Linked DNA regions of Drosophila melanogaster. The protein of the gene in region 2 purifies or fractionates together with the protein of the main gene of each other region. This does not show direct contact. Each region holds a gene or a part of one and is shown on either strand. Other genes may lie near its edges. The genes, in order: raptor and REPTOR.

The links.
Region 1: the proteins of REPTOR (region 2) and raptor purify together in Drosophila melanogaster (affinity purification with western blotting, with the first as the bait; one study listed by BioGRID). This does not show direct contact.

The regions. Positions count from the first base shown.
Region 1 is NC_004354.4:6,087,198-6,092,087, reverse strand, and holds the start of raptor (raptor), read left to right. Parts: upstream 1-1,886; 5' UTR 1,887-2,381; coding exon 2,382-3,816; intron 3,817-3,874; coding exon 3,875-4,890. Other genes in the region: Mipp2 (multiple inositol polyphosphate phosphatase 2), read left to right, coding at 794-971, 1,246-1,679.
Region 2 is NT_033777.3:24,579,557-24,584,440, forward strand, and holds the start of REPTOR (repressed by TOR), read right to left. Parts: upstream 3,309-4,884; 5' UTR 3,157-3,308; intron 1-3,156. Other genes in the region: CG13625 (uncharacterized protein), read right to left, coding at 3,581-4,884.

The DNA.
Region 1 (4,890 bases), on a different chromosome or scaffold from region 2:
CCGGTTACCTGGAACTTTAGTTTTGGCGCAAAACTTTTGGCATGTGCGTTTCAGCTATTCCTTTTTTCACTATTGACATTTGCGGATTGTGGCTCCTTGGGCGCCATATGGCAGCCAAAAAGCAACGAGGAGAACCTCGATAAGCACAAATTTTAACCGAAACTCTTAGGAACAAAAACTGAGTGACCACACGAAACGAATTCAGGGGTGTTAATTATTTATTGCAATTTTAAGTTGTGTGTAAGTTTCTCGTTTTATTCTTGGACAGGATATTCAAAATGCTTCCCTTGCCAACGCTTATTCCTTTTGCGTGTTTGGCGTGCGACTAAACCATTTTTTAATCGCTTAGTTTGCCGGGCCGGTTAAAACAGAGCTTTTTGAGGCAGAAAGCTCGATTGGGCGAAGTGAACACTTGTTGAGTGGCAATGCGCTGATTTAGGCACCTGCAAATCTAACTAAATTTATTATAAAATAGTGTTAATAAAGCTTCCTGAAATGAGTAATCAACCAAGCACTTACAACTGATGCCATCGAAGATGCTATTTAAAAATACCGCCAACTGGCGGTGGAAACGGGTTTTTTTTGGCTGCCCCATGTGTTAGGGCTGCCAGCTGAGCTGATAGCCTTGCCACCTTGCGCGACTAGCACACTTGTCAATTTGTTTTTCTTTCGTGTTTATTATTTCCTAGATTTCTTTTGAGCTGGCATTTCGTTCTGTTTTTCACGTTTTAACCCCGTTTTTCGGTAAACCTCGTTTCTAATCTCGTGACAAGTTTTTCCACCGCCCGGAAAGATGCTAAGCCAATTTTACTGCTTGTTTTTGTTGCTCCTCCACTTCTTCGTGGGCGTGACGTTGTCTGAAGAGGGGGAGTGCCGCCGCCTTAATCGCGCAGATATCGAGGGCAGACTGTCCACAAAGACGCCCTACAGAGCGATCGCAAATTATGACGAAACGCCACCGAAATACGCCGGTTTGTATTTTTGTTGTTTTCTGTGTAACGCACCCACAGTAGGCACCCGCTTAGAAATACAAACATGTGTTGTGCCATGTGACAGTTAACAGCGCTCGCTTAATACAGTGAATTCATAATCATGAAAGCATATGGATTCTTTATTGATCATAAAACAGAGAATCGCTTTAGATTTGTTATTATACTATTACTAGTTTATTATTACCGATGCCTACTGCTAGCAAATGGCAATGGAACAGCTGATTTTTCTCTTTTAACCGTTTCACCCGACAAGGCTGCCATCCGACGCGAATTTGGACCATCATCCGACACGGAACTAGAAATCCTAGCGAATCCGTTATCCTTCAGGCGCAAAATCGACTATCAGAGATAAAGAAACGCATTCTGGATCAGACGAAGCCGCCGATCTGCACCGCTGAATTGGAAAAGCTGCGCCAATGGCACTGGATGCATCTGAATGCCACTGAAGATGAGAAATTACTGGTGGCCGAGGGTGAGGATGAGCTGATTGAGCTGGCGGAACGGATGCAGCGGCGATTTCCGGATCTACTTCCGGAGTTGTACAATCCGGAGTGGTACTACTTCAAGTATACTGCGACCCAGAGAACGCTGAAAAGTGCGGAAAGCTTCGCTACGGGTTTGTTCGGCCGTCATCGCATCCATACTGTACGATATCCGCCGCCTTTGCACGAGGATCCTGTTTTGCGGGTGAGCAGTCCTTTAGTTTTTTCTGTCAATGTAACCAAAACAAACTTTTGAATTACGCGCTACAAATGAGCTTGTAATGATCTGGCAACGCCATTCATTACAGCTAGGCCATTTCGCTGTTAGTTTATTATCGATATCAATGTTGTAAACCGCTTGCCAGCGTGCAATCGAAAAAATCATCGATTTTTGTTCCAGCTCTATTTTCTGCGCAATTCTTTTCGTATAATATAATTCGATTAAACATAAATAAATAAACCCAAGCGAAAGTAAATAAACCTGTTAATGCGCACCATCTTCCGTCGGAGATCGCTCGCTATAGTTGTACGGTTTTTATTTTGTCCCGGCATCGACCTAATCAGCCCAGGCGGCGTGTTTTCCCCGAGTTCTTTTTACCCGTTTTCGGGAAATGGTCCGCGATCCGTAGGCGGAAAACGTGGAGAAGAGGAACGTGGAAAGAAAAGCAGAAAAGCGCGGAGCGGAGCTGAGGAGGCGCTGGCGGTGGTGGAGGTGCGGAAAGTGCGAAAAGTGTTTGGGGTTATGTGCTAGAGTCCCCTCGGGGGGATTTTTAGCTGATTGAATCCGCGACCGAGACGTAATCGCTCCGGGAAATCGCTCGCATTGAGCTGCACCCTCTCCTCGGCAAACGGAAAAAGAAAAAAAGCAATACAGCGAGAAACGAGAGAAACAAAAAGCACGCAGAACATGACAAGTGCCGTTCGCGCTAAGTCCGCCGCTGCCGCAGTCGGCGTCGCAGTCGACGAAAGCAGCGGCAGCAGCAACGGCAGCGTCGCGGATCAAGAGGTGGCCTCCAGCAAGGAGGCCGTCCTGAGCGTCCTAATCCGCAAGAGATACGAGAAATATGTATTCGCCCCGTGGGACGATCCGATAATCTTGATAATGGAGCAACTGGAGCACATCGAGCACTGTCGATCCGCCGCCTTGGGGAACCAGGTGGCCATCGGCCGGGACCCATCTCAGGACGACTCTCTGAACGACCTGGGTAAGGTGATTAGCAACATGAGGCAGGACCAATCACTGGTACCAATCGTGAAGCACATCGAGCAAATATCCGACATTCAGGCCTCCAACGGCCAGGAACTGGCCTCCCTCGGTTCTTTGAGGGAGCTAATCCGGACTATCAGAAAGGAATGGCCCCGGGACGACTCTATCAAACTGCGGTTGAAGGAAATACAGATCCTGGGCATGCCGCCCGCTCGGAGCTTATGCTTCGGCGAGCGTATCCGCGACGACAGGTGCCCGCTCTCCCTGCAGACTAAAAGGCACAAGGAGCGCATCCAGGCCATGATGTACGAGAGACAGCCGTGGCGCATCCGCGAGCGCATGAAGACGGCAAGTGTGGCCCTGGTTCTGTGCCTCAACATCGGCGTGGATCCGCCGGACGTGGTCAAGATCCAACCCTGCTCACGGCTAGAGTGCTGGATAGATCCCAGCTCGGTGTCCCCGCCAAAGGCCATGGAACTCATTGGAAGCAACCTGCAGATGCAGTACGAACGCTGGCAGCCAAGGGCCCGGTACAAGAAGTGCAACGATCCCACCGTGGATGACGTTAAGAAGCTCTGCACCTCCCTACGCCGGAACGCCAAGGGGGAGCGCATACTCTTCCACTACAACGGACACGGAGTGCCCAAGCCCACAGCCAACGGGGAGATCTGGGTGTTCAACAAGACCTTCACGCAGTACATCCCCCTGAGCATATTCGAGCTTATCACTTGGATGTCAGCGCCCTCCATCTACGTGTATGACTGCTCCAACGCCGGGATCATCATCAATTCGTTTCAGCCATACGCTAAACAGCACGAGGAAGAACTAGGGAAGGCGCTGGCCGCCGCCCAGCAGAGGGGTGGTGTCCAACAGTTAGTGGGCGGCTCTGGTGGTGCCGCCAACGTAGCCGCCAACCAGGTGCAGTTAACCAACCAGATGGTCAGTTACAAGAACTGTATACACCTGGCTGCCTGTGCTGCAAACGAGATTCTTCCGATGAATGCACAGCTGCCGGCGGATCTTTTCACCAGCTGTCTGACAACACCCATTAACATAGCGCTCAAGTGGTACGCCATGCAAGAAAAGCTGGGCATGGTACCGCGTATTCAGAGCGAACTGATCGACAAGATTCCAGGTAAGGTTATACCTTTACTCACCCAGGGAATGCTGTTAACCATTAAATTCTATCGCAGGCAAGGTCAACGACCGGCGCACTATGATGGGTGAGCTTAACTGGATCTTCACCGCCATTACGGACACGATAGCATGGAACACACTTCCTCGCGAGCTCTTTCAGCGCCTGTTTCGCCAGGATCTGCTGGTGGCCAGCTTGTTCCGCAATTTCCTGTTGGCCGAGCGCATTCTGCGAAGCCACGACTGCACACCAGTTTCCCTGCCTGCCCTGCCGCCTTGTTATCGCCATCCGATGTGGAAGGCCTGGGATCTGGTGGTAGATTTGGCTCTACAGCAGCTGCCGGAGATTCTCGATCACAATGCGCCGTACCGCCAGCTGCCATTCTTCGAGCACCAGCTCACGGCCTTCCAGGTTTGGCTGGACAGCGAATCGGAGTCGAGAACGCCACCGGAACAGCTGCCCATTGTGCTGCAGGTCCTACTGTCGCAGGTGCACCGTCTGAGGGCCTTGGAGCTGCTGGCTCGCTTTCTGGATCTTGGTCCGTGGGCCGTTAATCTCGCCCTGGGCGTGGGCATCTTTCCATACGTGCTTAAACTGCTGCAGAGTTCTACGCGCGAACTGCGACCCGTTTTGGTGTTCATTTGGGCCAAGATCCTGGCCGTGGATCCCAGCTGCCAGGTGGATCTGGTCAAGGAATACAAGTACTTCCTCTCCGTGCTGCAGGACACCTCCGTTTCCAAGGAGCACCGTACACTGTCCGCCTTTGTATTGTCCTCCATAGTGCACAACTTCCTGCTGGGACAGACGAGCGCGCTTCAAGGTCCCCTACTGTCTATTTGCCTTGAGCAGTTGAACGACGGAAGTTGGCTGCTGCGCCAGTGGCTAGCCATCTGTCTGGGCATGCTGTGGCAGAACTTTGAGAAGGCGCGTTGGTCGGGAGCACGCGACCTGGCGCACGAGAAGCTGTACGTACTGCTGCGGGACTCGATACCGGAAGTGAGAGCCGCTGCCGTCTTCGCCTTAGGCACATTTATTAGCTCCGTGACGGATCGTAGCGAGGAACAGGCCAATAAT
Region 2 (4,884 bases):
CTTTGAACCCAGCGATGTCATAACAAGCATCTAATTATGCGAGTGACAAATGATCCAAGAAAAGTGCATTTTCCATCCGGACCGTCTCTTGAAGAAAACTTTTTCGAAAATTTGATGAATTAACCTTAATTTCCTGTGTCAGTGGCCGGCGGCGTTTTGAACCCAACACTTTCCTTTTTTTTCTTTTCGCCTCGGGCGGGGGGCTGGAACGAGTTTCTATCAATGGATCCTTTGTCCAAGGATTTGCACGTGTGCACAAATTAGCAGAAACTGGTTACAAGGCATTCGCCTTCTGTTTTCCGATCGAAAGAAAGCGGAGAAACTAGTTTTTCCAGCGGGGCGCTTTTACACAGCATTGTTCTAAGAGGATAAGGTTCACAAAGCAGGGGGGAAAAACCAGATGGACCAGGAAAATTATGAAAATTCCATTGTTTTCCTCTAGTTATTTGTTGGCCTAGCGGGGTGTAAGTCCCCTAGACTTTCCCTCTTCCTATTCCTCCAGCAGCTTGAAGTCGGTAAAGTAATAATTAAGGAATTAGTATACGCTAGTTTTCCCATTAAAGAAACTGATTGGAAGTTCCAGGATCGAGAAGGCAATTCCAACTGAAGTTCCTCCACTCAGAAGCTTCCCTAGCAACAACCCCAAGCGTATGAGTCATTGGAAATCCCAGGATCGGAACACGTGGTGCCGAGGAAATTCCATCGAATCAACCGAATTGAAATTCCCTTTGCCATTCAACAGGATTTCGAACAAAAGGAATTTGAATAACTTTGCCCTATGTTGTTCCAGCATGTGAAGGAATTAAAAAACGCTTTAAAGAACCCGAATCACTGTGCCAAAATTCTACACTGCAAACAATTTGGTACATACATAAACAGTAATAAATAATATTTCAAATATATCAAAATCAAATAGTCAATATTTGTGGTATTCGTAAATATGAAATTTTGCAATAATTTTTTAGCCTAATTTTCCGCACATAATAGTTCGTTTTTTCGTCATAATTTTATAAAAAACAGCCACAATATGGAATGCCATATCTCAAAAAACTCGTTATAAAATTCTAAATCAATTGGCATTTAAATTTGAAAATTTTTTTTTTTGTTAAATTTTTTTCAAAATTTTATGATGTTACCCCTTGCAAAAAATCCAAAATTCATAAAATTTTGAAATTCCAAATATGAACAAAAAAGTGATATAGATCGTTAGTTGGGATAATAAGCTGCACAAAACTATCAAATGTTGTAATGTGAGTACATTTTTAGCCAAGTTATGATAAAAAAGGCGTTTGAAAATAGCAAATTTCTTGTGCTGATTTTACATCTATTGGGAAATTTATTTAGAGTTTCAGATATTGGTAATTTAATAAATATTTTTGACAGTGCATGACACAAACCAACCCCTCAATTTCCGAGCAAAGACCAAGGGGGAGGATCAATCTGTGGATTGTAAGGGGTGCTTGGAACACACGTACTCAGCATGGGATGCGTGTAAATTTCTAAGCCATTACAATGTCATGTCACTGGGTCCTTGGAAGCACCCCATTCGCGAGGAAAAAGCCAAGGAAATGCACAAGGAAGGGCCAAGGACAAGGGTTGAGCTTGCTCTGGGGGTTGCTTTTGGACCAGCGAAGGTTTCCTTGGGGTGTCTGCGCCATCAGTTTATGGTTCTCCCCCTTTTTTTGGGGGGGTTAAGAGGGCCATGTGTCGAAGAAGGCCAAGCACTGATCTTAGCCTGTCTGATGCAAAGAACATTCAAAAACACAAAGTGCCCAAGAAAAGTTGAAGAAAGTTTTCATGCTCAAAAGCAAAATAGGCAAACTTTCAGAAACAGATATTTGATATTTTTACCCTTATCTTAGGGAAATAAAGAATTAGCATCTTTGCGATGTCCATTGCGTGTAATATCTGCCGTTAACAACAAATAACTAAAAACTAGTTAAACTTATAAAGAACTGTTTTTCATGCATTTAAAATGAGTAAACTTGAAGTTTAAAAAACTCAATTAGTCAATACCTTTTAAAAAAATCAAAGTCTATAGCATAATTTAAAACCACCTTCACTTTATGCATTTTTAAGAACAAAGGAGTATAATATGTATGAAAAGTGCACAATTACAACATTAAAGAGAATATCAAACAAATAAATTTACTGCATTATTTATTTATTTATCAAAGGCGCATAATTGATCAAATTAGCACTTGATTGCTAAAAGGAAATAGAAACTGAAAATTATGGATTTACATACACTAACGCAAATTAAATTTACGATTGTGTAAATTGGCTAAATCTTCATTTGCACACAAAGTAACATCCAAACGAACGGCTCTTTGTTAGAGTGCAAAAATAATAATCTAACGAAGTGCAATTAATTCAAAATGAAGCGAAATAAAAGCAGACCACGAAATGGCACACAAGGAATCGAAAAGAAGAACGTAGAGGGGCAGGGGAGAGAGAGGGGGAGTAAATAGCAGTGTCATGAATGAATGCGATGTGCGGAAGTGTGTATGTGTGTCAACGGGAAAGAGATAGAACGAAAGCTGATTGCGGTATTTGCATCCCGCCGCGAGCGAGCGAGATGGAAGCTGCAGCGAGCGACAGGCGCGTGCATGCGCCAAATGCCTGATTGGAATGGTACGTACACATTTCAACATTTCCACACGTTTCTGCAGCTGAAAAGCTTTTGGCGCCAATTTTGCGCCAAGCAAATTGCAGTGCAGCAGCACCAGCAGCAACAACAAAATCACAACAATCAGCCGCAGCAGCAGCAGCTACAAGCCAACAAACAAACAAACTGGTTTTTCATCGGCTGACCGACAATTGCGGCTGAAGGCGAAGGGCAGGCAAAGCAGCTGAAAAAAAAAGGAAAACCACCGAAATCCCAATCCACAAATGCACAAACCAACACGACTGTGGTGTTTTTGTTGTGGTTAAGAGAGTTTTATGCTAATTATTGGGGGCGGGGCAACAAACACACACCACTGGCGTCCCACTCGATACACATATACAGTTGCTTACGCTTTGTTCGCTGTAACGAAAGCAGCAACAAAGCAACCAAAAGCAGAACCATTTACATACACACACACACATCGATACTCTATTGCTTACAAAGCAAAAATCTTAGAATGCTTCTATTTAGCAGATGATGTCACTTACCTATTCTGGTTTTGAAGCCAAAATGTGCGGCACACTTTAAACTTGATAATTACAATGGGTTTTCCCCAGTTACACGGTTTATTCCGTGGTTTTGAAACGATTTTTTGGGAGCGACGAGCAGGTCGCAGGTGTAGATGAAGACTATTTACCATTCGCTTTTGCTCCGCTATTCTACACACAGGGTTGCATTGCGCTGGCGACCAGTGTTGCAGGTGGCACGTCGATTTGGCGGGAAAGTGGCGGGCATTTCGAAAATCAAATTTTTGTAAATAAATATTAAATATTATATTACCTATTTACATTCTTTATTTTCCAAAATAATTCAATAAAACAAAGAAAACGATCAATGTAATTGCTCTTTTCTTTTTTACAGGCAGTGCCTACATCTTTATTGCAACACGAAAGCAAACAACGCTTGCAACATTCACATATCCTCCACGCTGTACTTGTAGGCCTCATCCTGCACGGCCCGCCGTTCGTTCTGTTTGTCGAACCAACGCTGCTCGTAGCCGTTGGATCGATCGACGCCATCCCAGCGATATCCTGGTCGGATGCCAAATCGGTTCTCCGGAAAGCTGCCCTCGTACTTGGGCATCACCGGCTTGTTGTCCTGCTGGTCGCGTTTCTTGCGCTTCTGGCGCATGTACTCCAGCATCGGGTCGTCGGCGTGCTCCTGTTCGCGCAGATGCCTGTCCAGATCCTCGTCGTTGGCATAGCGAGCCACCGGTTTGGAGGCCTCATGGACCATCTCCTCCAGGCGGGACTTGTGATCTTCTATTTGCTTCAACCCCTTGCCCCAGCGATCGTACAGTTCCTTCTTCTTTTTCTCGTGCTCCTCTTTGCGGCCCTGCTCGGCGGGATCCTCATTGGCGGCATCTCGTGCTCGGTGTCCCTTTCTGCGAGTACTGCGCACCTGCACATCGCCATCACGACCGGAAATTTCGCTGGACATTTTCTCGAATAGTTCATGTTCTTGTCGACGCCTTTCGTCGGTTTCCTTCTTCAGCGATTTCGCATCCTGCAGTCCAGCTTTCTTGCCATCTAGTGTCTTGGTGGATTTCGGCTTGTGTGTCGGAGGTGGAGATGCTGATTTGCTGGGCGATGCCTTGGCCCAGCGACTTTTCCTTTCTTCCTTGAAGCGATTACGAGGCGGTGGACTGCGCTCTCGACTTCTGTGATTTCTGGCCGGGCTTTGGTCGGAGTCGTGACGTCTGCGTGGTGATTTGTCTCGTTTTCTGGTTGGACTTTGGTCGAAGTCTCGTTTTCTTCGCGGTGGCGATTGATCTACATCCTTGGGTCTTCTTGGCGGGCTTTGATCGGAGTTTCTTCTCCTCCTTGGCGGCGTTTGCTTGTCATCTCTGCGTCTTCGGGGCGGGCTTTGATCTGAATCCCGCCTCCTTCGCACTGGAGACTGGTCATTGTCTCTCCGTTTCCTAGGCGGACTTTGGTCGGAGTCTTTCCTTTCCCTTCGCACCGGAGATTGATCGTCTGCTTTACGCCTTCGAGGTGGGCTTTGATCGGAATCTTTCCTCCTTCTGGGCGGAGTTGAATCCTTGTCTCTACGTCGCCTTGGCGGACTCTGATCGGAGTTACTTCTGCGGCGTCTGGGTGGCGATTGATCGGAATCCCTTCTCCTTCGAGTGGGTGATGCTTTTCCCGTTCGTTTTCTTGGCGGACTTTGGTCGGAATCCCGCCTTTTTCTGACTGGCGATTGATTGCCATTCCTGG